Linked DNA regions of Diceros bicornis minor. The protein of the gene in region 1 purifies or fractionates together with the protein of each later gene. This does not show direct contact. Links are inferred from orthologs where the notes say so. Each region holds a gene or a part of one and is shown in the gene's direction. Other genes may lie near its edges.

Evidence for each region.
Region 2: the proteins of MAGOHB (region 1) and PYM1 purify together in Homo sapiens (co-immunoprecipitation; 3 studies listed by BioGRID and IntAct, with this or other methods). This does not show direct contact. The link is inferred for Diceros bicornis minor from reciprocal best matches to the Homo sapiens genes MAGOHB and PYM1.

The regions. Positions count from the first base shown.
Region 1 is NC_080756.1:50,341,201-50,357,150, forward strand, and holds the start of MAGOHB (protein mago nashi homolog 2), read left to right. Parts: upstream 1-9,218; 5' UTR 9,219-9,259; coding exon 9,260-9,353; intron 9,354-11,570; exon of another isoform or gene 11,571-11,614; coding exon 11,615-11,673; intron 11,674-12,365; coding exon 12,366-12,476; intron 12,477-14,422; coding exon 14,423-14,505; intron 14,506-15,950. Other genes in the region: tyrosine-protein kinase STYK1, read left to right, coding at 2,061-2,265. UniProt on the Homo sapiens protein: Required for pre-mRNA splicing as component of the spliceosome. Plays a redundant role with MAGOH in the exon junction complex and in the nonsense-mediated decay (NMD) pathway.
Region 2 is NC_080756.1:12,801,562-12,816,354, forward strand, and holds the start of PYM1 (partner of Y14 and mago), read left to right. Parts: upstream 1-7,969; 5' UTR 7,970-8,007; coding exon 8,008-8,041; intron 8,042-8,104; exon of another isoform or gene 8,105-8,787; coding exon of another isoform or gene 8,788-8,806; intron 8,807-14,793. UniProt on the Homo sapiens protein: Key regulator of the exon junction complex (EJC), a multiprotein complex that associates immediately upstream of the exon-exon junction on mRNAs and serves as a positional landmark for the intron exon structure of genes and directs post-transcriptional processes in the cytoplasm such as mRNA export, nonsense-mediated mRNA decay (NMD) or translation.

The DNA.
Region 1 (15,950 bases):
ATGATTTCACTTATATGTGGAATCTAAAAAACAAAACAAAGGAACAAATAAAACTCATAGATACAGAGAACAGATTGGTGGTTGCCAGAGGGGAGGGCGGTTGGAGGTTGGGCAAAACGAGTGAAGGGGATCAAAAGGTACAAACTTCCAGTTGTAAAATAAATAAATCACAGGGATGTACAGCATGATAACTATAGCCAATAATATTGTATTGCATATTTGAAAATTGCTAAGAGAGTAGATCTTGAAAGCTATCCTGACAAGAAAAAGAAAAAATTATAACTTCGTATGGTGACAGATGGTAACTAGACTTATTGTGGTGATCATTTCACAATGTATACAAATATCAAATCATTATGTTGTATACCTAAAACTAATATAATGTTATCTGAGTTATACTTCAATAAAAAATTACACAGAATTTTACAACCAATAAAGTACAAAAAGGAATTGTTACAGAACATTAAAAAAGGTTAAATGATTTATAAGAAGGCAGGAGAAAATAATATTAATATAGATATCTATTAAAATTGTTGCTATTTTGTAAATTTTTCAGCATTGAAATGGTCAATTTCCAGCACCTGGGTTTCCCAATAATAAATAGTTACTATATAAAGCATATTATAAATGTTAAATATCATAACTATGTATATTTATGTATATATATACAACACACATACACACACACACATAGTGATACTGGTTGGGTATACTAGAATGAAATTGCTGACAAATATTTCTTGTAGGCTTTCTATGTGTAAAAGGCTATCCTTGATACTGTGGGGAGACACTCAACTGATAAAGTGCCTGATCTTGAAGAACTTAACATTTGGATGAGGAGATATCTGAAAGAACATGAAAATCCACATAAAGTGTGAGGCAATAACTAGAATGATTAAAAGCTCAGATTCATTCAGAGTCAAAAAGGCATAAGTTCAGTCCTAATCCTGCTACTTTACTGTACACTGTTTACTTATCTTAAAATAGGTACAATGATAATCCTACCTCAAAGATATTGTGAGGCTAAAATGAAATAATGCAGGTTAAGTTCCACTACCATGACTCATATAATAAGTTCTTGGTAAATGTTAGCAGTGTTATTAAAGTAGCATCTTTTACAGAGTCTCATGGTACAGCACTAAAGAGTGTGGGCAGCACAGTGTGGGCTGAAGTTTATAAGGGAAGGTTTCACAGAGGAATTAAGATTTAAAACAAAACTGTAGGAAGCAATGACAATGGAGAAGATATTGAAGGAACTGGGCATAGCATGAGCAAAGACAGAGTTGGGTGTTAATGACCACATCTAGGGCATAGCAAGACACTGACTTGGCTGGAGGAGACAGCTTCAGTTAGGCAAGGCCTATGTGGTAGAGAAGCTAGGGGGTAGGATAGCGACTTCATATAGCAGGCAGTGGGAAACCACCGTAGGGTCTTGAGCAAGGATGAGACATGAGACATGATGAAAAGTGTATGAAAACAGACTACCTTGTAAATTCTTGGTAAAATGGATTGAAGAAAAGACAGATTAAAGGTGGTAAGTACTTTTATCTAGATTAAGGTGATTTCCTGGAGAAGCTAAATAATAAAGGAGGGAAATGACCTGGATTAATGGAAGGAAACATCTAATTACATTATCCAAAATTAATATGAATTATATTACTCCATAACTTCTTATTTTCCTGGCTGTAATGTAGCTTTTACTGGTAGATAAGTAATAGCAATGGTCTAGAATGCTGCAAGTTAGTAGCATCTAAAGATGAGAACGCCTAACTTCTGAAAGAGTTTTTGGCAATAGAATGAAAAAAAAAAAAACTTCTGTCATACTGATTGTAGTTTGAGAAATCTTCAGTCATTCCTATTATAAAAAGGGCCCTGTTGAGAAGAGACTTAGTACTGAGGATGAGAAGGAATATTATTCTCTGGGAAGAATATGAGATACAGGACAATGAGAAGTAGATTAAAGAATTGCAGGGTTTTTTGTTAAGGTGTGTTAGGAGAGAAGACATGTTCCTCAAACATTTGCCTCGTCAAGGCATCAGTTTCTCTTGTTTCCCTTTCAGGTATAGTCTTATGAAGTCCTGCTGGCGCTGGAGTGAGGACAGCCGCCCTTCAGTTAGAGAACTACACTCGCGCCTAGAAACTGCTGCTCGAACTGCAGATGACAAGGCTGTGTTGCAAGTACCAGAGTTGGTGGTGCCTGAACTGTACGCAGCTGTGGCGGGCATCAGCGTGGAGAGCCTCTCCTACAGCTACAGCATCCTTTGAAGATCCCAGGGCAAGAAACATTTATGGGTGATCACATACTCTTGGAGCCAATTCCTCCAAGAACAGAGAATAGACTTTCTAGTGGGACATAATGAGAGAAATGGGACATGGATCCTGGATCTTCCCCTACACATTCCCTAGATACCTGACATGATGCTATAGGAGGCTCTACACACCATATACCCTTGAGACTGAGAAATATAGTTTCATTTCTACTGTCCCAATCCTAAAGACCCAGGAGAGAAGTGGTGGACAGTGTCATTCCAAAGGAGGTTTTAGAAATCTGCAGTGTTTGTTGCGGCATGGCACAAATAAGCTGGTCCCTCCCACCACAGGCTAGTTTCCTCCTGAAGCATGCTTTTTTATCTAGCCTATTATAAGGTGCAGAGAAATTGCAATCAAATGAGGGAATAGAAAGCCAGTAAAGAAGTTGATTAAGAGAAAATTAAAGGTTTTACTTGCTGAGGAGTATAGATGTGGACCAAGTTTATCCTTCAAAGAGAAGGAGGAGGAAGGACGTAAAGTTCTTCAGTTCTGGTCCTATCATGCAGGGCTAGAGGAGAACCATGAAGGAAAACTTCTGAGTTTCCTCTTGGCTATAGATAAGAGAAAGATGGTCCCCTTTTCTCTAATTCTGAGAGACGAGTACCTTGTCGGTACTACTTTTAACTAGAAGCTGGAGGGGTCAATTCATGATTAAGAACATTCAACACGTCTTGTTCATCAGGCTAGCTTCCTGGTCCCTATAAGACTAGGGAGATTGAGCCTAAAGAGTTAGTTCGGTCAGCGATGAATATATTATGTGTCTATTAAATAAACAGGAAATGTGGAAACCAAGCAAGAATGCTTAGTAAGACAGAATGTCTTAAACAAGGGCTAGAAAAGGATGTATTCTGAGACAGAAGGCTAGCAGCTTCTGATTTGCAATCATTTACTGATGTACTGTGAAATTTATTTCATTAAATTAATATTTATTGAGTAAAAATAGGCTTTTCTGGTATACGGCTTCCAAAATGTCTACAATAGGGAGGATAAAAGTAAATAAATGGAAATTAATGGCAATAGAAAAATTCAAGAGACAATCTACATTGTCAGAAAAGGGATTCCTCACGTGTAAAATGGGGATAATATATACCTCACAGGGTTGTCATGAGGATTGAATGAGAGTATGTATTTGTACAGTATTTGGCACATAATATGTGCTCAATAAATGTTTTCTTTCCCCCTTCCTATCCTAGACTCTTTCACATCTTTTTCATTTAAAACCTACTATGGCCAAGAACAGAACCTTGGTCTGTCAATCACACTGTAAGGCAGTCATGCCTAAAGCTGATGATGTGGTGCACATACCACATGACTAAAAGGATAAAGTCATCATTTTTGTGTGAGCTTCTGGATGATGATAGTAGTCTCCTACCATTTCAAAATACTGAAAATAACATCATGATGACAATTCAGTTGAACATGTGGTCTGTGATTTTACAGAATACTCTGGGTATTCTGGGAGGGACATCTAAGGCTGCTGCTGTAGGAAAGATGACTGGCCATTGAAAATTTTGTAGAAGTCAGAATCCTGATGGAGTCATGATGAGTCATCCAACTGAATAATGATTCTGGCACTGTGGGAATACCACAAGGACCAATCAGGATTTAAATGGTGAGTGTCAGTAGGGAGAAGGGAGACAGAGTGGCTTGGCACAAAGTCCTGTGGAATCTCATTGTTGCTTCTCGACTGTTCATTTAAGTCAAATTTACAAAATATTTATTTATTCAAATATTTTTTAAAAAATTAAGTGTTAAGGCCAACTGTGCCAGACACTGTGCTAGATATTAGATAAACGAAACAGAGCTTTCGATTACAGTCTAGAAAGAGATACTATACACATACTAGTGTGGGTATTTGTTAATCACAAACTGTGGTAAGTGCTATGAAGAAAACGTGGAGGACAGTATAAGGGAGTATAAAATGAGGCCCTCCCTGAAGAAACGGCATTTAAACTGAGACCTTAGGGATGAGTAAGTTGGCCTGACAAAGAGTGAGAAGAGCCTTCCAGGAGAAGGACTCTGTGTGAAAACTCTGAGGAAAGAAAAAAGCATAGTTTATTTGAAGAACGTCAAGGAGGTAAGTGGGCTGGGCGCAGAGTGAGGTGGGAGGAACGTGGCGCATAATGACATGGAGCACTGCTCTTTCATATTGTATGTTAATATGAGTTTTGGTATGAGGGAAAGAAGCAGATAAGCTATTTTAAATTTTGACCTGTAATTTTTTTTTCTGGATATAGGTCTGGAAAACTGAATACAGTAATTGCTTATTCTAAAAAAACTGAGTTTTTCCCTCACTTGGCCAGGCTTTTTCCAAAAAGGGGATTACATTTCTGGCATCTTTGACTTATCAGCTAAACCAGCTATTTCCAAGCTAATGAATGGAAAAGAGAATTAAAATATTTACCATTTTATCATGTTGAATACAGGTTAGGATTTGTTGTATTGTTTTGATTTTCCCCTACCGCAGTCTTGTTTTTCCAACCTATGATTTATTGTTAAAAAAAAATTTCAGCACATCTAGGAACTGAGCAAACACCCACCTGGATACCGTGTCTAATTGAAAATTGACAATGTAGTTTAACTTAGAATAGTCTGAACTAGTAGTTTTCAAATCATGCTCATACGGAACAGCAGTGTTTTTCATGGTAGATTTAGGTATTTTGTTATTAAAATTGAATAATAAAAGTTTTTTTTTCACCATTTTTAAAGAAAAAGTAAGTTTATGGGTAGACTCTTCTTAATCATAACCTTGCTGTAATAGCTTTTATGAAATTTTTGCCATAACTCATTTAAACAAAGAAATAGATAGCAAAAACAAACCTTGCTGTAATAGTTTTTATGAAATTTTTGCCATAACTCATTTAAACAAAGAAATAGATAGCAAAAACACTGGCAGACTGGGAGGATAGCCTATTATGCTAATTTAGCACACTGTTTTTATTTGTTTTGGACATAAGTGTTAGTGTTTATGCTATTTGTTAGATGCATATAATATTGTCATATGCTTGAAAAAATTATTAGTTTGAATAATGCAATTAAATATATTATCATGTCATAATCATCTAGCAATAGCTCTAAGTGCTCACCATATATGAATATATCTGAGAAACAATGGTGTGGAAATTTTGGTGTTTCTGCATGGTGGTGTTTCTCTTTAAAAAAGTAATACCACTGAATGGTTAAAAAGACATATATGGTTAAAATTCCACAGGGAAGTCTATTATAGAAGAGAGGAGAGAAAGGTGGGAGGATGGAGTAAAGGTTGAAGTAGACCATTTCATTCTGACATTTAAAAAATTTTAAATTACCTTAGAATGTTGTTTTAGATCATATAATATTCTTGATTTACTACTCTGATCCATTGAATGGAAAAAGATAGTCCTGACTGTTTTTGTCTTGTAAATACAAAATCAAAACTATTCAAAAGCTACTGATAAAATAATAAAAACAAAAAACTATCTTCTCTAGCGTTTATCACAGGAAAGTCAGAACATTTTTCTGAAAACTGTAATTAGGAATGATTTGATAATTTTAAATAGTGAGACAAAACAGATGTGAGGACAGAACAGCCATGAGAGATCAATGGAAGAGAGAATTTTAGACACAGGAAAAATCAGCAGAAAGTTTTAAAAGACTAAATTAACAATTATAAGAAAGAATCATCTCTGACCATAGCCCTCTGACTTGATTCATCACCGGAAAGCAATAAACTAAAAAACTCTAGTTGGAAACAATTATTTTGCCAATGAATATTATGTATTTGATTAAATCATTAAGCCCTAATTTCAGCTGAAGCTGGAAATACATTTATTTCTTAACTACTTCACACGGGTGCTTTGAAGCTGACCACCGATAGGTTGCATTAGCAAAGGTGGAAATAGTTCTTAATTTGGCTTCATTTAAGCAGCTCAAATATTTATTTTCATAAACAAACTGTGGTGACACCAGTGTTGAAGCCCTACTTTGAAGTCTACAGTAACTGAGATTGAGATGTCTCAGTGTTCAAAAAATATTTTCACTATTTCCAGCTCAAGTAAAAGTGTACGAAATGGTTCTTATATAACTGCACTGTCCACTACAGCAGTCAGTGGACACATGTGGCTATTTAAATATTAATTTAAATTCATACAAATTAAGTAATATTTAAAAATAAAAAAATTCAGTTTCTCAGTCTCACAAGCCACATTTCAAGTGCTCAGTAGCCATTCAGAACGTTTCCACGTCTCTGCAACATCCAAAAAGAACACAAAACACAAACGCTTTATCCCTTTGCAATCCTTACAGTGATACTAGATACCAGCCCTGCTGGTCTCGTGCTTAAGATTTGGTGCTCTCACCGCTGCGGCCTGGGTTCGTCTTTCCGGTCAGCGAACCACACCACCCATCTGTCAGTTGTCATAGTGTGGCAGCCGCATGTTGCTGTGATGCTGAAAGCTCTGCCACCAGTATTTCAAACACCAGCAGGGTCGCCCATGCTGGACAGGTTTCAGCAGAGCTTCCAGACTAAGACAGACTAGGAAGAAGGACCCGGCCACCCACTTCCAGAAAAACTGGCGGTGAAAACTCTATGACTAGCAGTGAAGCACTCTCTGATACAGCACTGGAAGGTGAGAGGTTGGCACAAAAAGACGGGGCAGGGTTCTGTTCTGCTTTACACGGGGTCCCCAGGAGGTGACTAGACAGCACTAACATAGTGATACTAGAGATATACATTTTGACGTTTTTTAGGGGGCTAAATATATGACGGATTAAGTACACATATTTTCACATTTCATCTTAAAAACAGGGTTAGAAAGGATTAGTCTTGAGCTCAGGAGTCTTTTTAGGGGATAAAGACAACAATTGGCCCACAGATAAAGTTCTTAACACTGTATATTCCTTAAGTTCCGTAGTCACAGTTCTGGTAGCTGTAGCTCTATTCCAGTAGGCATGAGGATGAACACTGGCACATGTGCCAAAAATCTGAATAAATGCATTAGGGAATCGAAAGATACTGAATGAGGCTCCCTACAAAAAAACTCCCACAAAACAAATGGATTATGCCTATATTTTCAGAGATACTATGCAACAGTGTGGTCCAATTTCTGTGCGGTATTCTTGTAGTAAGTACAGTGACCAATTCATTTTAGTTTGCCTGGGACTTTCCAGGTTTTAAAACTGAAAGTCCCTCATCTGAGGAAACTCCTCAGTCCTGGGCAAAGTGAAATGGTTAATTTTCACCCCAGTGTTAAGGGATGGTTCTTTATGTTTCTTGTGTATTTTCCATAATGGCAGCCTATAGTACGAACTGAATAATTTTTCTATATTAACACTTATACAATGGTTAATATGGATTTCTATATTGACAGTTATACAATTAATATAGACTCAACATAACCTGGCCCAGTCTGCCTTTCTAGTTTTTCCACTTACATGAACCTTATGTTCTAGCTATACTAAATTTTTTGGCTTTCCCACATCACGCATTTTCATACAACTGTGTCTTTGCTCAGGCTGTTTTCTTCCTGAAATGCTTTCCCATCCCTCTGAACATATACTGAACTTATCCAACAAGGTCCTATTCAAATAGCACATTTTGTCACAAGCCTTCCCTGATACTTCCCTTTCTTCAACTTCCTCTATTCTCCAATAAAGTGACTTGCTTCCTCTGTGTACTACCAGCACTTAAAAAAATTCTTTCTTATACCAATTGCTACCTTGTGCAATTATTGGTCTACATGTTTGCTTTCTTTTACAGACTACAAGTGCAAAGGGCTCTATCTTTTTATTACTAGTGTCCAACCCTTTCTGGCACATAGGAAATGCTTGTCAATGAGTTTTGACAAACTCATTATATAATGTTTTATAAATTTTAAAGTTTATTTTACATGCAGTACCTCATTTGATCCTCTCAACAATTCTGTGAGCTTGGAAAAATTGACTGTAGAATATTCACTTGGTTGATGAACAAACAGGCTCAGAGATAGTGACGTGACCAAGGTTAGGTAGAGGTACGTGTTGGGAATGAATCCCAGGTCTTCTGACAGCCACTCTTTCTACTAAATCCCACTGGAGGTTAAAGGTCACCCAACAGGCAGGATTAGTTTGTGTGTTGATAAAAGGAGGGTGGTCATTAATATTTGAAGAATAGACTGTGTAAAAGCTCACCCTGTGTTTCCTCATTATTCAAGCTCCATCCCACACTAGAGCATTCGTTCACTTCTCCAATTTAGTTTTATTTGGTAGGAAACGTGGGCTAAAACATTTGATTTTAAGTCATATTGCCAACACTCCACAGGCCACTGAAGATTAACCTTTACTGAATGAAAGAAGTTTTGCTATTAAAAGGAACTCTTTTATACCATGACTGTAAGGAATTTTCAGTGTCAATGTGCCTTTCAAAATTTCACACCTTTTGTCTGATGGATTCTTTCTACTTTGTCTCTATTATTACAGGTTTCTAGCTGCCGGATAACTAGCAATCCTTGTCCAAAGGGGAAAGCCCCGTGTTAGAAACCTACCAGGAGAAAGCGTTGTATCCAAGTCTGCCACCTATTCTGGGCTTTATCTTTACTCATCCCACCATTTAAAGGGGAATGATGCCACAGCAAGCTCAAAAAATCCCGCGAGAATTAGAGACTCGGAAAAAGCGATTTGCATACCTTCTTCCTAAGCCCATAAAAAAGGCTATCGTATTTTCACACTTCTCTGCTTTGCTAATATAATTGGATCTATTTAATTTGGAAAGTAATGTGCTTCCAATCCTAGTAAAGCTACATACACGTCGCTACTACCCTCCATCCCGTACCTCCGGGTCTCTCCGAGACGCCACCTTCCCCCTTTCCCCTGGGGACCCGGGAGGCGGAAAGGGCGCGCCCGTGGTGACGATTTTATCCTGGGCGACTGACGTCACTGCCAGGCGCCCGGCGGCACGGTGGCCAGGCCTTCGGCGGGCTTTCCGGGAACGAAAATGGCTATGGCCAGCGATTTTTACCTGCGCTACTACGTAGGGCACAAGGGAAAATTTGGACACGAGTTTCTGGAGTTTGAGTTTCGGCCCGACGGTGAGCAGAGGAGTGGCCGCCGGGGCCGCACCCAGCGCGGCGCTGAGCTCGGGGAAGCTCGGGGCTGGCCGCGGAGGAGGCGGGGTGGGGTGTGCGAGCCTCCGCGGGTTTGCAAGCGCTGCTTGAGACGAAGTAAAGAGGAGCTAAGGAATATAAGAGGTTAAATTGGTTTTGTGAATAAAAGATAATTAAAGGGTGGAAATTAATTCAGAAAAGCCACTCATGCCAGATACTGAAAAGCTGAACCCACGTTAATCAGAATCCTAGAATCAGCACACCGGAAGAGACTTTCAATGCCATCTGGTTTATCGACCTAATACGTGCTTGAACATTTTTAAGAACACCCCACCACGCGGTGGTCCGATGGATACTTACAATCTTCCCGGACCAGTAACTTTCCGACTACCCATTCATCCATTTTATTCATTCAGGCGCTGTATGTAAGGCAACATGTCGAAAAACGAAGGAGACCTGCTCCGAAGGGGGGCGCTCGACGTGTAGAAAAATGAGTGTTTTGCGTACTTAAATACAGTTATTCTTCATTGGATGTATTAAGAATATAAAAAAAGGCGAGCGGTTAGTTCTACATGAAGGAATCGGGGAAAACTTTCTAGAGAAGGTGACAGTTGAGATGAGTCTTGAAATGAGAGTAGGTATTTTCTTGGCCTCTGAGAAAAAAAGTCAGACTGCTGAGAGCTGCCTGAGCCTAGGGCGAGGTGGAACTGCCTGCTGCCCATGTAGTGTGAAGCAGAGTCTATCTTTTCACAGCTCTGATTCTCTTTAGAGAGTGTTGTTGTATACTGAACTCTTCTGGAAACAAGGACGGTCCAACTGCGTAGACGTTTCTTTTTTGAAAGCATATTATTTGCTGGGCTACGTGTAAATACGAAAATTGAATTTACAACGAGTAAGACTTTAATTATCCTCAAGGAGTTAAATGTTTTGATGAGGGACACAGACATGAAACTAACCATAAAGCAGTATGGATATTAAGTGTTAGGTGCTATGTTCATGCTTTGGACAAAGTTCTGTGAAAGCATGAAAGAAAAATTAGGAGAGGATCACATATTACAAAAGGGGAAGAGTATCAGACGTTTCAGGCAGAACGTAAGGAACTAGAACCCTGCAATTATTTAGAAACTTTCATCACCTTATTCTCAGATCTCTTCCAAATGTAGCTAAAGAGCCAATTTACCTGAATTCTCTATCTGTTCTTTCCTTTTGTGATATTGTTTTCAGTGCGTTTGTCTGTGAACATCATTTAGCTTGTTCATGTTACTTTTATCCAGTGACATAAATTGTCTATTATTATCAGGGAAATTTCATGCCTGAACAGTGGTTCTCATCCATTTGTCTGCCACCACACCATCCACGTACTTTGATCAGTAATAGTGACTCACAAAGACAGTGATTCCTAAGGGATTCACCTCATTAGGGTAACCTATCATTTTAGAGGATCAGGACCACATTACATTTTACCTGGACAACTGACTAGGCGTGAGGAGAAGCATGTATCAGGGAGTACAAAAGTCATGATGGATTAAAATTAAACATAGATCAGCTAACAAACTGGCCAGCCTTTATCCAGAAGCAGCACATAGTTTGTATGCTTCCTAGTCACGATTCTAAACTATTAGCATTGCCATATTATATACATACATTAATTTGAAAGAAAATAATTAAAAGAACATTTTGGAGTAGCGAGGAAAGCGTGAGTATTGGAGGAAGGTAGATCTAGATCTGCATCTTGTGTGACCTTGGGCAAGTTACTTAACTGTTTTCTCACCTATGAATAGGTGAGAGAATAAAACCTACATTTTAGGGTTGTTTTACAGATTAGATTAAATGCTCTGGGTAAATCACTTAGCACAAATACAGACATATAAAATAAACTTTAAAAGAAACGTTTCTTCCTTTTTCAGCTTCCCTGTCTAGTTCATGACATAGCTTAAGAAAATGGCCCTTCCATTATATTTAATTACATTGAAGGCGTGGAATACTTAAAAATTATATTGAATATTTAAAAATTATATCAAAGGCATAGAATATTTAAAAATTTGAGTAGCTTCAACTGCAGCCAATTTACCAGTAAATTTTTGAGTATTTATATGTCTAGCATTGATCTTATGCTAGGAGGGAGGAAATATTAATAAAACTAGTAGTATAAAATAGTCTTTATGTTCAAAATTGCTTACGATGTCATTTATCTTTTTTTAGCAGTTTTTGCTGTTATAGATTGAATTGTTTTCCACTCCCCACAGGAAAGCTTAGATATGCCAACAACAGCAATTACAAAAATGATGTCATGATCAGAAAAGAGGTAAGGTTTTTTTGAATGTATAACTTTTTACATTTAGCTCATTTTCTTCTTGTCTGTGTTGAATTTACTAAAGTATATCTAAGCTGTACTGTAAAAAAGAAGCCAATTTATAGATTGAAAAGGGATTCTACTTAAATCAGGTATAATTGTAGCATCTGTAACAACGAAAGAAGCAATCTGAATATATTAATTTGTAGTCCCACATTTGAACATATCATTTAATTCATTTTATAATTTGTCATTTTACTCTATTCACTGTTAATTGATAATCATGATTTAAACACAGTATGAACTTTAAATGAAAGGCCTAAAAGTTGGAGATAAGAAAAAGTTCAGAGCACTATGATGTGCACTTGCGTTTGTCTCTGTTCACCTCATAGGTTTTGCATTGTCACCATTAACCGCTTGGAGATGTTTGAATCCCATGTTACAAAGGCAGAATACAGAGTTTTAAAAGGGAGTTAGTGATGTGAAGAGGGAAAAATATATATTAAAGGAAAGGGCAAGGGAGTGAAGAAAAAACGTAGGATGAATGATTCTCTCCCATCTTGTACTTTTGGAATTATAATTAAATTTTTCTGTGATATTCTGTTTGAATATTCAGGGTTTGTAATTACGTTTTGTCATTTCCTTCTGAGTTGTGGGAAACAATAGAGAAGCATTATGAAATTTTTATTATGACTTATTTTCAGGCTTATGTACACAAGAGTGTAATGGAAGAACTGAAGAGAATTATTGATGACAGTGAAATTACAAAAGAAGACGATGCTTTGTGGCCTCCCCCTGACAGGGTTGGCCGACAGGTTTGTATTTAGTGATTCTTTAAATGCATAAATATTAGAAATTGATAATATAATTGTTGTGTTTCTCTTTATTTATTTAAAATAGATCCTTATTGATTCTTTGGTTTTCTGTTTAGTAGGCACCTGGGAAATACTCTTTAATTTTCTTTTACTTAGCCTCATTTTCTCTGCTACTTCCCAGTAGTAAAGGAGGCAATGCATAGCTGTAAATTTAGACATCTTTCTGAACAGTCTCCTCTGTAGTCACCACAAAGTTAGCATGTTTTCACATTGTTATGAATAATATGTATTATATGTTAATCACTTTTATTAGGAATAAGAACAGGTGTTTGTTAAATTCGAGATTTAGGATCTCATTGACTATGAAAATTTATTGTCTCCAAATTTATAACTTTGAAAACTCTTATTTGCATCTTTATGCCCCAGAGAAGGATTTGGTTTATTCAAACTGACCTTTGCCTCTCATATTCCCTTCAGAGTAATTGATGTGTCTCAGAGGGCTTCTGAAGAGCTCTGAAGGCCTCATTTCACTCTGTGGAAAGGCAGTTTGATTTCTGAATTGGGTCCTTTCAACTCTTGGAGAAATGAGATACGACCCCTGGAGGAAGAAGCATTTAATTTCACTTTTTTATATTCCCAAGGATTATACATTATAACACCTTCTTTGACTAGAAGAAAATGTGGAGAAATCTAATATGCTGATGCTCTGTAGCAGCAACTTAACTCTTCTATTTAAAGAAACATTATTTAGGAAAGCAAAGGTAATAGTTAACAGTATTTATTTTATGCATTGTAAACACTTTTAAAAAGTAAGTTTAGATCTCAGTTTATTTTATGTATATACACATGTATACTAAAAAATAAACAGCGACAGTAAACTGTGTATCTCTTTTAGACTCGGAGAGCCCAATGTTTTCATCTACCCACTTAGTGATGTGTTCATGTGTTTTGGTTGGTGGGGGAGGATTAGGCATGCTCCAGAAGTTGTCCATTGGATCTTTAAGTCGAAGATGCTATGTTTGTTTGAGTCTTACTTAATTTTCCATTTTGTGTGTGGCATAAACTGTACATACTTAGGTCTTTTGATCAACTGTGTAGCTAAGAATATCTTTAATGGCGTCTGTTATTTAACCTGAAAAATCACAGACGTAGCCTCTTAATTATTGGTTTTGGATTTGCAGATAAAATATAGAGAAAAATTTATACAGTAATTATGGCCCACTGGGAACATCTACATTACGTTGTATTTGTTTTACTAGTTCTTAATTTTAATGTTTTGTGAAGTCGAAAGAGTATGAGCCTTTCAGTCTTGCAGTCCTGGATTCAAATATCAGTACCATCACTTATTAGTGGTTGAAATATCAACAAGTTTTTTCCTTTGCCTTACGAGTCTTGGATTTCACATTTGTAAAATGAGCCTAATAAAGCCTACCTGATAAGGGTATTTTAGGGATTACAGATAATGTTTATAAAGTCCCTAGCAGCAGGGCCTGACACATAGTAGGTGCTAAAGAGGTACTATTTTTAATATTATGCATTTTATTTTTAGAGCCTGGTAGAAAGGGTAAATGTGTTTGTATTTATTATATTAAAAATAGGCTTACCCATATTATTTTTACATTATGCTTCAAAGTGATGCCTTTAGTTTTTACTGACATAAGTAACATTTCTCTGTCACTCTTAAGTGACATTTTATAGTATCTTCTTTATGAGATCTCTGGAAAGCAGTTTTGGTTGGTCCTAACATTGGGGACTATTGAACAGTTGATGAGGTTATTATTTTATAGATGCGGTTTCTGTTTAACAAATCGTTTCTTTTTTTTTCCCCTCCTCTATGACTACCAGAAACCTTGCAGCTAAAATTGGGACATTTTGGTAGCACGAATACAGATATCTCTGGGGTGGACTTTTATATTAACTTCATTTCTCTATTTTATTTTTTTCAGGAACTTGAAATTGTAATTGGAGATGAACATATTTCTTTTACCACATCAAAAATAGGTTCTCTTATTGATGTAAATCAGTCAAAGTAAGTATGTTAAAGCATTTTGACTAAATTGATAAAATTTATTATCTCTAATAGAGATGCAACTATAGCTAGGTTGCTAAGATTTCAGTGGCACCCTATCAGTTTATTAGGCAGCTGTAATTCTGATTTTTGTCATTAAAGACTTATCAAAGAAGTTAGCAGTGTATTTTATTGATTGCCAAAAAAATCTTAATCTAACAGCTATATAAAATGCCCAAGTTTTATTAGCTACTTTTGTGTAAAAATCTGCACATAGTGTCACAAAATTTAAGAGAAATCCTTATTGGATTATATCAGCCTCATTAGCCCTATATCATGTCCTTCTCTTCCTTGGGTTTAATAATTCGAATAAATGGAAAAAATCTAGTAGAGCTTAAGTATGGCTTTAGCTGTCTATGTCTTCCCAAGTTCTGTGTCCCTATAGCACATACCATTGTCTTTGTGTGAAAAATCTCTCTGCCTCCTGTTATTTTTTCCCACTCTTTTCCCCTTAAAATGTCCTCAGAGTGTTTTTTCCTATCACTTTAAATTATAACAACTTATTTATTTGCTTTACTGATTTGAATGTTAGCTCCCTGAGAACCTTGCTATATCTCCAAAGTTAGCCCAGTGCCTGGCACATAAATAGGTGCTTTATAAATATTTATTAGAGGAAAGGAGAAAGGAATGAATGCCTAATAACTCTTGGCTACAAAATGCTATGTTCATAAACCAATCGGACCCTTTTATTTTTTTGTGAGGAGATCAGCCCTGTGCTAACATCTGCCAATCTTCTTTTTTTTTGCTGAGGAAGACTGGCCCTGGGCTAACATCCATGCCCATCTTCCTCTACTTTATATGGGACACCGCCACACCATGGCTTGCCACGTAGTGCGTCAGTGTGCGCCCGGGATCTGAACCGGCGAACCCCGGGCTGCCTCAGCACAGCGCGCCCACTTAACCGCTTGCGCCACCGGGCCAGCCCCAATGATTGGACCCTTTTAAACTATCAAATTTATTTTCCCACAGTTGGTGAGGATGTCTCATTCATACCCTTTTGGGATTGTAAATTGGTACAGTGTTTTTTGGAAAGTGATTTGATAATATGCTTTAAAAGTCATGGATATTTTACTCATCTTTGTCCTAGTAATTTCATTTCTGAGCATCTATTCTGGGGAAATATTCTCAAATAATGAAAAAGCTATTATTTGTAAAGATGGTCATTGAAGCCTTAAATTGGAAAAAAATCCAAATGTCTAACAAGGAGAGAATTGTTAAATTAACTAAAAACTATTTGTGAGTTTTTTTTAAAGTAATGGTAAAAGCTATGTTAAAAAGGGCCCAGGGGGCCGGCGCCGTGGCTTAGCGGTTGGGTGCACTCGCTCTGTTGCTGGCGGCCCGGGTTTGGATCCCGGGTGCGCACCGACGCACCACTTCTCTGGCCATGCTGAGACCGCGTCCCACAT
Region 2 (14,793 bases), about 38 Mb from region 1:
CTTCCCAGTTCCAGGAGGGTTGAGCTGAGTGCGGGAGTCTTGGATGCGGCGTGGGGGGAGGGGGGGGGAGGGGGGATGTCTTCCTTCCACCCTACTAGGTTAGTAGTGTTTAGGGAGCTCCAGCTTTCGGCTCTGGGACCCAGGGACCAAAGAGGAGCCATCAGGTGGATCATGCTGACCTCTGGCCCAGGGGCCAAGTTGCAAAGGGCAACTTGCCTTGAGGATTCAATAACAGCAGTAACAATATCTTTCATGAGTATAGTACAGCACTGTTTTGAGTCTAACAGAGCTAGGGTTAGTCATGTCTGAGTTCCATTCTTAGCTCTGATACCACTATGTGACTTGGGCAAATTATATCTGTAAAATGGGGGGAATGATACCCATCTTTCAGTTGTGAGGAGTAAGTCAAATAATGTATGAAAAGTACCTAGTACAATGCCTAGCATTGTACTTCTATATGCCTATAGAAGGCCTACAAGAAATGGTAGTTATTATTGTATTAACAATTAAAATCTAATCCAATGAGACAGGAAATTATTGGTATAGCCATTCTACAGATGAAGAAACTGGAGCTCAAAGAGGTTGGGACTTCCTAAGGCAGGTGATAAGTGGAGGAGGCCAAAGCTCTAACCCGAGAACCCCATGTGGGGCCCCTGCCTGTCTCTCTGTCCTCCTCTCGTTCCACTTGGTCCTTCACACACTGCCTTCTAGTCCACTGCCTTCCTTTCTGTTCCTCAAGCACGCCAATTCTTCCCTGCTCAGGGCCATGAGACTTACTGTTCTGTCTGCCTGGAACACCCTTCCCCAGTCTTGGCAGAGCTGACTTCTCGCCCAAGCTGAAATCCAAGAGATCCAAGGTCTCCAAGAGACCTTCCCTGACCATTCCACCCTAAGTAGCTCCCTCCTTTGCACAGCACTCTCCTTTGTTTCCTTCACTGAACTTATCACAAGTGGAAATTATCTTCCTAACTCATTTGCTTCTTTGTGTTCTGTTTGTCCTCTTCTACCAAAATGTAAGGTCCACAAGGGGCGGAATTGTTGGTCTCGTTCACCACTGTATCCCCAATACCTGAAACAGTGCCCAGCATGTTGTAGGTGCTCCATGTTGGTTGTACAAATAGTTGTGTAAAGTTAGGGAGTCATATTTTGGGAATATTAATCCAAATACAGTTAAATGAAATACCAGAGTGTCCATCCTGACAGGGGAATATGAGACAATTTGGAACACATATAGTAGGTGCTAAATAAATATTTGTTAAATGCATGAATGATGCTAGAAAGCACTTATTGTGGTACTCCATCCAAGGCTCTGACCTTCTACCCACCCCACCCCCACCTTATTTAGGGCTCCTTGGGTCAGGCTCAAGGAGGCAATTAAAGCCTAAAAGAACTTCCTTTCTGATAGTGTAGCCTCTGTAGCCTCTGCCCTTGGGACAGCTCTGCCGCTCACCTCTGTGTAGCATACCATTCCTGTTCTGGGGGCTCTCTGGGAACACTTAGAAGGGGGTTCTGGGACACTGATATTCTGGAGAAAAGACTGCACCCATCTGGCCCTTTTCTATGACTATAATCCAACTTCTACTGCCAACAGATCTAATGAATACAAAATAGTTTTATGGTTAATGGGGCCTGTATGGCTTAATTAGCCTCTCTCATTACCCCTGGGGATTCTTAGATGGCTCCAAGGCTCTAGGAAATGGAATCTGAGAGAGAAAGTGACAGGGAGAGAGCAAACAAGGGATGACAAACAGGAGAGAGGACATGATGCTTCCCTCTCATCTTTCTTTTCACAGTGACCCTTCCTAGTCCCCCAGGTCTTAGATGTAGATTATCGTAGAGGTTAGGAGAAGGACTTTTGCATTAGATAGTCGTGGATTAGAATCCTAACTCGTGGGGAGTTATTTCATCTCCCTGAACCTGTTTCCTTATTGGTAAAATGGGTACCTAGAGAAATCAGTAACAATGCGGGGACTAAATAAGATAATATGTGACATATACTTAGCAAACTGCATGGCACAGAGGAAGAACTCAATAAACATTAGCTATTATTATCATTATTTATAGTACAAGGGTGGTACCTAGAGAAACACATCTGGAGATTAGGAAAAATGATGTCTTTGACCCAGCAAGGCATAAATTCTAGGAACTTCCAGTACCAATGAAGCCTAGTTGTACATCTTCCCTCCTCTGTCATATCTCAGGCACAGATATGAAGTATCAGGGTCGTGTAATTTGCCTCTGGGAGGGTGAGAAGCTGGCTAGAAACTAGACTGTCAGGGTCCAAAGACACCCCTGGGCTGGGACCTGGGACCAAGGACACTCCTGGCTCCTGGGATCTTTTCAGTTTCCTCCTGACTTTTCTCACCAAAAGTTTGGCTGCTCCTGCTGCTGGAAGGCAGCAAACCGCCAGATCCTGGGGCATTAAAGACCTGGAACAAGTCCAATTTTGTCCTCCAGCTCCATCCCAACCCGGAGGCTATAACCTGGGCTAGTCCAGGCGAATGCCAGGGCAGTGGAGGGTGGGGTCCGGGGCCCTCTCGCCAGCTATTTGTGACTCACCCTTCCCTTCCCTCTTCTGATTTCCCTGTCCACCTCTACCAACTTGGGGTAAGAAAGTAAGAAGTTGACTTGGAGGCAGACACTCCTAGAACATCCTCAGAGCTGGGAGGCACCAACTGCCATATTTTACAGAGGAGGAAACTGAGGCCCAGAGAGAGAATGAGTCTCTCAGGGTCACACCCAGACTCTAGACATCTTGTCCTTAGTCCGTTCCACTAACATTTAACCAGTGCCTCTGGTTTTCTAGATCTTATTTTAAACATTAAACACTAAAATTGCTGGTAACCAAGAGATAAATATGATTTCCAAAGCTTAGTGCTAACATTTAAGGTTTCCTTTTTCACGTCAACATTCATTGCTCACATTCCAAGTCTTGTAAGTTTACAATTACTCAAGAATCAGCTATGCCCCCGAACATTCCGGCTGACTCAGCAAGGAACCCCAAAAGGCAGGCACTCCCCTTTGAGGACCTAGGCCTGCTTACCTGGACTTCTGAATCCCTTAACCACACCAGGGCCTGCATCCTCCTCCTCTTTTACAGGACTGAGGGACGGTCTATTCTTTCCTGCCCATCCCTGCTACTAGCCCCTGAGAGGGCATCATTTGGCTTAAAGCCTCAAATTTCATTCAGCTTCCACAAACATCACAGATGGTAGTGTTACCTGATTAAGGGAGTGGGGTGTGTGTGTGTGTGTGTGTGTGTGTGTGTGTGCACGCGCGCGCGCGCGGGGGGGGGGGTGTCATTGTGTAGTACAGGAGGAAGTTACAGTGTTGGCATGGTTGGGGGATGTGGGCTCATACCTTCTGAGGCTGAGGAGATGCCCAATAACATTTGCATTTCTTACTCAGTAAAGCTCCTTTCCCCCATTTAAAAGTGAAAAGTGGGATTTAGACCCAGGTAGTTTCAGAAACTTCCCGATGACAGGTGTGGAAAGGATAGAGGTGGGAAGTTGGGGACCAGGAGGCCAAACAAGAACCCCTCTCCACCCGTGCAGACGGGTGTGGAACTGTCCGTAGAGGTTCCACAACAGACTTTCCCCTGACTCTGGTCCCAAGCAGCCGAGCCGCACCATCCCTCCGAGTGAGCGGGAGGGATGCAGGGGAAGGTCCGGGGAATCGCTGTCTGCCGGGTGCTGGCCCAGCCCTCCGCTGCCCCTCGCGTCCTGGCGCAAACTCTTCTGGCTACCCGCTCCAGCTGTCACGCTTCCTCCTTCTCCACCCAGCAGCCCTACCCCAGCCCCTGGGGCGTCCCCGCCCGGGCCCCCAGCCCCGCCTGCTCCGGGTGGGAGGGCGGGAGGCGGGGGGCTCGCGGGGTCTCTACCTTGCCTGCGGAGGGCGCGCGGTCGGAGCTGAGGTGCCGGCGCGGGAGCTGGAGCCCGTGCTGGGCTGGAGGGGACGGGCCAGGCAGAGGCGGCCGCCGGAGCCGCCCCGCTCCTGACGACACAGCTGCCCGCCCCCGACCCGGCCCGCCCGCCCGCGCCCTCGCCCGGCGCCCCCATCTTCGGGAACTCCAGTCGGACAGGCCCTGTCTCCAGTTCACCCAACCTGATTCCCCTTGCCCCCGAATATCTTCAGGGCTCTGGTCTGTGCCACTTTCTCCACATCCTGCGCTTCTCATCTTCTTCCCGCCCTGGGACAGCTCTGTTTCTTTCCATCTTCCTTTCTTTCTAATCACTCACAGCCTCTCCCCTCGTCTCAACCCTGGGAGACCAACATAGGGGGTGGGGCTGCTGATGGGACAGCTTGGTTGACGCCCACCCAGCCAGCGTCTCACCCTCTCCTAGTTGCTGCCATCGGGGATTTCCCTTCCCAACTCCTTTCCATCCACCACTGACTGAATGCATACTTGGGAGATCCCACAGCAACAAGGCCAGAGTTCCAGACTCCACATCCTGAGACCCATATACCTCCCTCCCCCCATGGGCTTCACACTGCTTGATGCGACTTGAGAGAATCTGGCCACCTTTGCCTTCAGGTTCCTCATCTCCCAAAAACCCAAGCCCCGGTTGTCTCAGACTTGTTTTCCCCAGTCTAAGGACACCTCCTTCTCTCAAGACTCAGATCCTTCCTTGAATTCTGCGGTGGAAGTTTAGGTGCAAAGAGCACTCTGGTCCGTGGCCACCCTTTCTCCACACCCTAACCCTCCCACTTTACCTGCTGGCCTTGGCAGGTGGTGTAGAAGGCCCCGGAAAAAAGTAGGGGTGAAAGGAAATCCTTTCAGCTTCTCCTGTCTGGAATTTCTTCTGGAGTTGTTAAAGGCTCTTGGGGCAGCATGGATGGTGGCGAGGCTAGTAGAGCAAGAGAGAGAGACAGAGGCCTAGGGACTTACTGGTAGGAACTGGGGACCCAGGCATCCTGCTCCCTGGCCCCACCCCAATCCCCGGTCTCACCCCCTCCTACCTTTTATTGAAGTAGGGCACAGTGACAAAAGCTTGAGTTCCTGGAAACTTCCCTCTTACACCTGGTGGTGGAAGAGAGGGGGCAGGGAGAGCTCTGACTGGAAGGGTGTATGTCTGCGTTGTATGTTGTGTGTCTACGTACACACATACATACACACACATAATATATACATACTTTTGGCGGGGGTTGGGGAGAAGGAGTGAATACATGAGGCCCCCTAGTGGAAACAGAGGGATCTAAGCAGTTCTTGATTGTTTCAAGACAGACTTGTCAGAAGAGACACCTCCATTTTTGTCAGAAATACAGCTGCTGAGTAATAGAGTTTGGCAGTACTGTTGTTGCATCTGAACTGGAGATCTGAGGCAGGGGTTGGAGAGGGTCTGTCTCTCTGCTCCAATCTTAAAAAGACAAGGGCCTTGCCACTCTCCATCCTTCATCCCCCCTTCCTATACGACCTCCTTAGTCATAAGGAATCATAAACACTTTTGAAGGCCTATTATGCACCAGGTCCTGTACTTAGTTCCGCAGCACTGCCAAACACACAGCCCAGCATAGGGCTGCACCAGAGTGGCTTGGTGTGTGTGTGTGTGCAAAGCCTCTCCACTCTAAGCCATCCTAAACAAACATACAATATAAGTAAGAATTTAAGTCCCCTAGCCCCTCTTCCAATCAGTTTTCTGCCCCTGAATCCCTCATCTAGAATTCCTGGAATGATACTAATCCTTAAGGCACTCAGCTTTCCTTGCAAATAATACTCACAGTGATACTACCCTATGTATGACCTCTGTTTGTCACTTCATCATCCTCAGATATGTCCCTACATGAAGTTAAAGACACTCCTTTTAAGTCATTTTTTGAGACTTCAAAGTGGGGCATGAGGCAATCTCTGTAATAAGGAACAAGATGGAATCAGTCATGCTCTAGGCTTCTTTGTGTCTTCTTTAGGATCTGTCCCCATCATACCCCAAGTCAGTTATTGGTGGGGGTGGGGGAAAGAAAGGCCAAGAAACATCTAAGGAGGAGGCGTCTAATGCCTACAGTTCCAGGTGCTCATTTCTTTAATCAACCACATCATAAAAGTCAGAAAGAAAGAAACCACAATGAACAAAGGGAAAGGAAAAAACAACAGTCTTGTTCTCCCCAACCTCTTCTTTCCCCTCTTCCTCCTCAGGGTGGGGGGCCACATCCGGGGCCCAGGGCTGGGTCTTAGGCAGGTCTGCTAGGCAGACACTTGAGTTTCACTTCCTGTCAACCCCAGAGCTGAGGCAGGATGTCTGGGGGCACAGTGGGGTGGGTACCTAGCATTGGGTAGTCAACAGGGCCCACTTTAGGATTCCCTCTTGCAGAAAGGTCCATTGAGCAGCGCACTAGTACTAGTACTCCTCAGGTAGTACAGTCAAGACCAAGGCATCCCTCTAGTTTTCACAGGCTTCATCTCACACTCTCACCTCTAATCATTAGTAACAAGGCTAAGGACAAGATGTTAGACCCAGCAGGGCTGAAGCACAATTGGTGAAAGAGCGGGGGTTAAGGATGGCAGTGTTAGAACACTTGCAATAAGTGTATTGAATGCAAACCAGTTTTTAAATGAGTCTTTTTTTTTTTGAGACCTTCTGAGTTGGTCCTCTGGTGGAACTCAGGAAGATGGAGCATGGGAAGGAAGGCAAGCTATGACCCGAGAAAATTTTTGAAGCTTCATTTCAAAGCTTTGGGAAGTTCCTAGGCAGCCATTGCTCTCAGTTTTTTGTTTTTTAAGTGAGGCATGCAGCCTAGTGTTGGAGGTGTCACTAAGCTTCGCCTCCTCTCTCCTCCCTGGTTCCAGCGGTACTGTTGGACATTAACCTAAACCAAAGCCGGGGATTTGGAGGAAGGTAAAAGGGTTGATAAGGAAAAAGCAACACGGGGGTGGGGATGGGGGAGGGCAGAGCGGACACCTGAGGAGAGAAACCTGCAGCCGGCCCCTCCCAGGCTGTAGGGGAAACAAGTTTAGCAGGACTTAGCCCTGAGGGAACAACAGCTGCTGAAAAAAGCAAGGGAGGGAGAATTCTCATTTGGGTTCTTCTCAAGAATAGGGAGGCTCGGAGCAGGGCAGGACTGCAAAGGGAGTGACCGAACGGGCCTGGATTATTGGCGAGTTGCCCCGTTTTAGAGCCCCAGCGCCCAGAGACTTGGACGAGGTCAATTAGAATACTAATGAGGTCCGCCCAGAAGCCCTCACCCTACCCTCTGACCCCGGGACCCAGCCCGAGGAGGCTCCCGGGGTCGAAGGCCAGAGCAAATTTAGGCCGTCGTCACGTCGCCGCCCGAATCCCCGGGGCCGCCCCAGGGGCAGGGCCAGGCCAGGGCTGCCCGCCCAAACCGGCCGGCCGCCTCCCGGGCCGTGGAAGCCGCCGGCAACCCTGAAGCTGCGGGGACAGGTGACCGGCCGGCAGCGCCCTCCGCCTTGCAGGCCCCTCTCGCGGGTCCCTGTCCGGAGGGTTGAGCTGGTGGTCGAGGACACTCGGCAGGCGATTTCGACCTCCCCACCTTCTAAGAGAGGGTTAGTTGGGGTCTTCCACTCGCCCCCAACCACATCGGTGCGCCCCAGTGCGTTCCCCGAGTTTGCCTGCCCCTCCTCACGTCCCCTAGCCGCTCTGGGACCTGGGTGCAGGCCAGGGCCTGAATATTCTTCCTCATTTATCAGCCCTCCTGTCCGGGTGCAGGTGGGCCTTGCCCCCTTTTCCTTCGCAGGTCCTGGACGGACGAAGAGTGCCTGTGAGGAGAGAGAGGGTCTGTGCCTCGGAACTTCTCTCGGCGCCCAAAGGACTGCTTTACACGCAGCAGGCGCTCAATAATGGTATCAGTGGCAGTAAAAGAGTCCATGGCTTTTATTTTATTAAAGTCTTCGGCTTCGCCTCCCTTCTTCCTCCTTCACCCTCTGTACATGAAAATGGTGTACTCTCCCTTTAAGACTAAAATGGTGGCCTGCTACGATCAGGACTCCACTTCCGGTGGGGAGGGGGGCGGGACCCCAGCCCGCTCACGCCGGAAGTGGTTTGCGTTTTCAAGATGGCGACTCCCTATGTAACTGACGAGACCGGCGGTGAGTGCGGGAGGCGCGGAGCCGCTTCTCCCCGGGCTCTCGGGGCAGGGGTTCGGACTTGGAAAGGGGTCTGTGCCCCGCCCATCCCGGGGCCCCTCCTTTGCCCCGCCCTCCGGACCGCCTTCTCCATTCATTCTCTCCTACGGGGTGTTACCTGCGCCCCCTTCTGGTCTCGTGTTTGGGGGTCTCTTGCTTCCGGTCACCCAAACCCTGGGGTCCTTCAATGCTGGTCTCTGCTCCGGGACCCTCACGAGCCCTTAGCTTTTCTCCAGCAGTTGGAGCTCCCATATCTCTTTTGGGTTATCCAGCCTTGGGGGTTCCTACACTCCTCAGTTCTCTCCAATTCCTGCCTTCCCACTCTTCCCCTCCCCCATCTCTTAGCTATACCCGCTTTCTGCCCTTCCCCAGCCCCGTCTTAATTCTTTTTCTCGAAGCTGGATCTGTTGAAGACCTGCTCTTTGCTACATAGTGCTTTTTTCCACTCTCTCCCTCATCTTCATTGTTGGGTCACTGAGGTCTAGAGGTGTGAAGAGAAGAGGAACCAGTAAAACTTTTCAGCTTGAGTTTTTCTCTTTGATGGCGCCACCCCCCTCTGCCTTCTCTGGTGATGATAATAGGAGTTGAGGAATCTAAGGTGGAAGAAGCCAAACAGGAAGATGTCTAGTGGCCTCTCAAGCCCTCTGACAAGTTGATAGAACCCACTATTCCTTCTGGCTAGAGAAGAATTTCCTGCCTGGCTGATTGAGATGCTGAAGTGTCGGCTGTGTATGTGAGGTTTATGCGTTGAAAACTGAGAATCAAGATTTTCATTGTGATTTTGTCCCATCCTAATTTCCTCATTTTTAGAAAAATGTGTGTAGTATTATCTAGCCAGTGACGATCAAATAAGATAGTATATGTGAAAACAATTTATAAAATACTGTGCAAGGCAAGGTGTTACTGTTTTTTGTAGCCCTCATTGTGTATGTGTAGTCTTCTGTAGAAGTGACATTGTACGTGTGCTGTGGTATATACAGTCTGTTTTAAAATATGCCATTTATGCTTCTTGCTTTGCTGCTTTCCATGTTCCTTACATCTCAACCCACCTCTCCTATGCTATCTAATGACAACCCAGGTCTCTGCTACTTCTCCCCACCTTGCGTTTCAAAGTAGTATAACCTCTCTTCTCCTGCTCTCTACTTCTTTGACTAGCTCCTTTTAATGTGTGCTTTGAAAATATTACTCAGTGTCCGGTGTACTTCTCTTTATTCTTAACTGTTTTCTTTAAGCTGATTTAATGAAAATCCAGATATCACATCTCACCATCCCTCCCACGAAGAGGTATCTTCTGTCCTTTGTGACTATGTGGAAGAGGAGAAGGAATCGTACTGCTTTTTTGCTCTTCTTACTGCTTCCAGATCATTAATCTACCACTGTCACTCTAATCCTGGTGGAAGGTACTGGCGTGCAATTATAGCATTTTCTCTGAAACCTCAGGGCCATCATCTACTGCCCACAAGGATCCAGACCTATTGCGTCATATTTTTTTCTCCACTCTGTTTCTTGCTCTCATTCTCAGTGTCTCCAGCATTTTTGGAATACTCTTGATGTTATAGTTCCTCAGCATGAGACCATTGACTTTCCTTTGTATTTTCAAACCAGCTACACATCAGAATCACTACAACCGGGACCTCACCTATGACACTGCTTCCCCTTCCTGGGCTCCCCATCGCTTACGTTAGCCTCCTTACTGGTCACCTTTTTCACTACCTCACAACCACAGAATCAGCTTTTTGCCCTCTTTAGGTTCTCTGGTTCTTGACCTTTCCTGTTTCGTTGAGTCTACCAGTGCCTTCATGATTACCTGCTAGACCTCTGTGCCCAGCCACTTTGATACTATCCTCATTGCTTTCTTCATTCATTTTGATCTTCTGTGTTAAGCAAGGACTTCTGTTATCTTGAATCATACCCATCAGCTGTTTTCTTGGCTTCTGCTTCTAGGCCACAGCACATGGCTAGAGAAAAAGCACAGAAGCTAGCACACTCAGTATAACTTCATGTCAACTTCTGCCAAGATCATGGCTTCTCTCAGGTCTTTTTTCTTGGTTTGCTTACATTCTGTCATGGCTGTTTCCCCCACCTTTTCCAGTTCTCTCTGACCCTCTCTTTTAATTCTCTCTCTTGGCAGATGAACTCACTTTCTAATTCATTGAAAAATCAAGGCCTATTACTTCTTTTTTTTTTTTTTTTTTTTAAAGATTTTATTTATTTATTTTTTCCCCCCAAAGCCCCAGTAGATAGTTGTATGTCATAGCTGCACATCGTTCTAGTTGCTGTATGTGGGATGTGGCCTCAGCATGGCCGGAGAAGCGGTGCGTCGGTGCGCGCCCAGGATCCGAACCCTGGGCCGCCAGCAGCAGAGTGCGCGCACTTAACCACTAAGCCACGGGGCCAGCCCAAGGCCTATCACTTCTGTTTCTTTCCTGTTCACAGCCTGATTTCTTGAATATCAGATCTATGCGTACTATTTCCATTTCTTCACTGCTTGTTTCTTAGCTTTTTACAGCCTTTATTTCTAACACCAGCCTTGCCTGAGTTGCCAATTCCCTTTTCTAATTGTTTGGTGAGTAGCTTTCATTCTTAGATATAATGTCACACCTCAAATCCAATCTGACCAAAATCGGTATCAGTTTTTCCTTCCTTGTTTCTGTAAAGGTACCATTGTTCTACCCAACCCAAGATCAACTTTTTGCATCATTTCTCTCTCTCTTTTTTATTTTAAGTAGACTTTATTTCTTAGAACAGTTTTAGATTTATAGAAAAATTGAGAACATAATATAGACAATTCCCATATACCTTACACTCAGTTTCTCCTATTATTAACATCTTACATTAGTATGGTACTGTTATTGCAATTAATGAACCAATATTGATACATTATTATTAACTACAGCCCATGCATAATTCAGATTTCCTTGGTTTTTACCTAATTTTTTTTCTATTCCAGGATCCCATCCAGGATACGACATTGCATTTAGTTCTCATGTCTCCTTAAACTCCTATTGGCTGTGACAGTTTCTCAGACTTTCCTTGTTTTTGATGACCTTGACAGTTTTGAGGAGTACTGGTCAGGTATTTTGTAGGATGCCCCTCTATTGGAATTTGTCTGATGTTTTTCTCATGATTAGACTGGAGTTATGTGTTTTTGGGGGGATGATCTTAGAGGAAAAGTCACATTTTCATCATATCATATCAAGCATACATAGTTAATGATTTTTTTTACTATTGATATTGACCATGATCACCTGACTGAGGTAGCGTTTGTAAGGTTTCTCCACTGTAAAGTTACTTTTTCCATACTGTACTCCTTTCCATACTGTACTCTTTAGAAGAAAGTAACTATTCACAGCCCACACTTAAAGAGTGGAGAGTTATGCTCCCTTCGTTAAGGATGGAGTATTTACATACATTATTTGGAATTCTTCTGCACAGGAGATTTGTCTATTCTCTCCCATTTATTTATTCAGTCACTTATTTATATCAGTATGGACTTTGGGTTATAATCCAATACTATTGTATTTATTTTATTGCTCAAGTGTTCCAGGTTTGGACATTGGGAGTTCTTTAATGGGCCGCGTGTCCCTTTGACATACCCCCATCAGTGTAGGTTTTTGGTTATGTGTTTGTTTTTTTTAGCTCTTCCTTACTTTGGCACTAGAAGATGCTCCAGGCTAGTCTTGTATATTTCCTGCCCCAGTCCTAGAATCAGCCATTTTTCCAAGAAGCCCCTGTTCCTTTTAGTGGAGAGTGGTATAGGAAACCAAGATCAGAGCATTAGGTGTTTTTGTTGCTATTGGGGTGTTGTTTTGCATCATCTTTTACTCCTCTCTTGCTCCCCGTGCCACACACACACCAGTTGTTCACATATCACTCTTCTGTTCCTACTGCCATAACCCTTATCCCGTCTTCAATACTTGTTAGCTGTATGGCCTTGGGAATTTTAAGCCTTGGGAATCTAAGCCTTAGTTTTCTCATCAATGAAGTGAGAATAATAATCCTACAAGTTAAATGGGATTATTGTGAGAATTAAAATTTAAGTGAAATAATATACATGTCTGGCACATAGAAAGTACCCAACAAATGGTTCTGTAATTATTAGTTACGTAATGATTATCGTATGGATTAAAAGAGATTATATGTGCAAGTATCAAGCATAGTACCTGGGTCATTCTAAGTGCCTGATAAAATTCTAGTTTCCTTTATCTTGCAGATTTTGCTGTGACCTCCTAAGTAGTTGTCCTATCTCCAGTCTCTCTCTCTGTTCCAGTTCATTTGACATACTGTTACCAGATTACTGCTCACCAGATTACTGCTCCTTAAGTATAAATTTAGTTATGTAATTTTTGTTCAATATAATTCATCCACCCGGAGTCCACTGTTAAATTTGGCATATATCCTTCTGATCTTTATTTTTCCTGTGCATTTTTAAAACATTTTTGAATCAGGTGGTATATACATTTTTATATCTTGCTTTTTCATTTAACCTTATAACATAAATATTTTGCCTTGCTATTAAAAACTCTTTGTAAACATCTTTTAAGATACTGGCAGAGTGTTTTATTGTTTGGGCACGCACCCTCTCTCTTACCTTTCTTCTGTTATTGGGCTTTTAAATCATTTTCAGAATTTGTTATAAGAACTCTGTGAATATTTTTGTGCATAAATCGTTGCGGAAATTTAGGGTTATTTTCTTCTTATTATTAGGATATAGATTATTTAGGATAGATTTCTCAGAAGTAGATTGCTGGGTTGGAGGATACAAACATTTATCTATTTTTTTTTTTTTTTGTGAGGAAGATTGGCTCTGAACTAACATCCGTGCCCATTTTGTATGTGGGATGCCGCCACAGGATGGCTTGATGAGTGGTGTATAGGTCCGCACCTGGGATCCAAACCTGCGAACCCCGGGCTGCCAAAGCAGAGCGCATGAACTTAACCACTATGCCACCGGGCTGGCCCCTTATTTATTCTTTAATTATAAAATTAATTCATCTTGATTGTAGAAAACTTGGAAACTGTTTTCACAAGTAATATAAAATATAAGTCACACGCATGTTCGGTAATTCCAGAACCCAAAGATAACTACAGTTACATTTCCTTTTAGCTTTTCTTTCTATGTACATATATAGCATATCCATATTTAACATAATTGGGATCATAGTGAATGGCTGTAGTTTCCAAGATATGATCGTCAGAACACTTAGTAGTCCTGTGAAATGTGCTACAAAATAAAGAACATAAAAATAAGATTCCTGTGGTCAAGTAAATTTGGGAAACACTGTAAACCATATTCCCATCTTGGATATTCACATGAATAAGAACATATTAACTCATTTAAGTCTTGCCTATAAAAACAAAATCTTTTTTTTTCTGTGTTTAACCCAGAATTCCCCAAACAAAAACTTTGAGAAATGCTGCTAAATGATAGGACTACTTTATATTCTCTTGCTATATTAGCCAAATTGCTTTCTAAAGGGTTTTATCATCAACAATATATGAATATGCTGATTTCAGCATTTCTTTGACTGCATTGGTATTCTCATCTTTAAAAATTCTACTGCTTCAATAGATGCAAATGATATTTTATTGTTTTAGTTTATATTTCCTTTGATTATTAGTGAGGTTAAACTTCTTTGTTTTTGTTTTTCATTTATAACACAATACAAAATAGTAGTGTAAAAAGCACAGCCTTTGGAACCCACAGCCTGGGTTGGAATTCTGTTGCAGTTTACTGACTTTGTAACTTTGGGCAAGTTACTAAATTCCTTATCATCTGTAAAACTGGAATAACTCTGCACGGAGTTGTGAAAATGAAATAATGTATAAAAACAATGAGCACTGTCCTTAGCCTGAAGCAAGCGCTCGATAAAGTGTAGCTGCTGTTATCTTTTTCAGGATTGCCTATCAAATTTCCATATGGACCATTTGCTCTTACATTCAAGATACTACTCTCTAACATGAGCACAAACCACTTTTCAGTATACTAGTGGCATCACATGCTACGTCTCTGCCTATACCCTGCAGTGAACCTGGGCTATGTAGTATAAGACAGGTGGAACAGCAGTGTGCTGATGTGTAAGCTTGGGCATCAGAACTGAGTTCAGATTGCACCTACATGCTGCTTCTGTGATCTTGGACCTATCTTGAACCTCTTGAAGACTCTATTTCCTCAGCTGTAGGTGATAATATCTACCCATTGTCTAGATTCAATAAGGTAATGTATGTAAAGTAATGGCATAATGTAGCTACTTACTAATAAATGCTTTTTCCTAATTGTTCTTAAGATACTGTGAGTTTTCCACTGCTATGATTTAGCTTGTTATTATTCTACCTAGAATGCCCTTTCCCTTCCTTTCTCTGTGCAGAAATATTAGCCACTAATTCATTGTTGTTGTTAATTATTACTACTACTGCCTAGTCTTTAGGGTCAAGTCCCTGAGATTTTCCTGATTTCCTGTCACCTTCCCCCATCAAACAGGGCTGGTTATTTATTCTCTGGAAATCTTTCTGTATGTATCTGTGTCTCTTAGGATACCTAAGACATTTATATTTGTGTCTTATTCTTTGTTTGCCTAACTTGCCTACCCACCTCCTTACTTAGACTGTAAATTTCCTGAAAGTAGGGACCATTTTACTCATCTTGATATCCCTGTAGCACTTAGTATAGTACTTTTCTCATAGGAGGCTTTCAATAAATGTTATTGCATTTCATT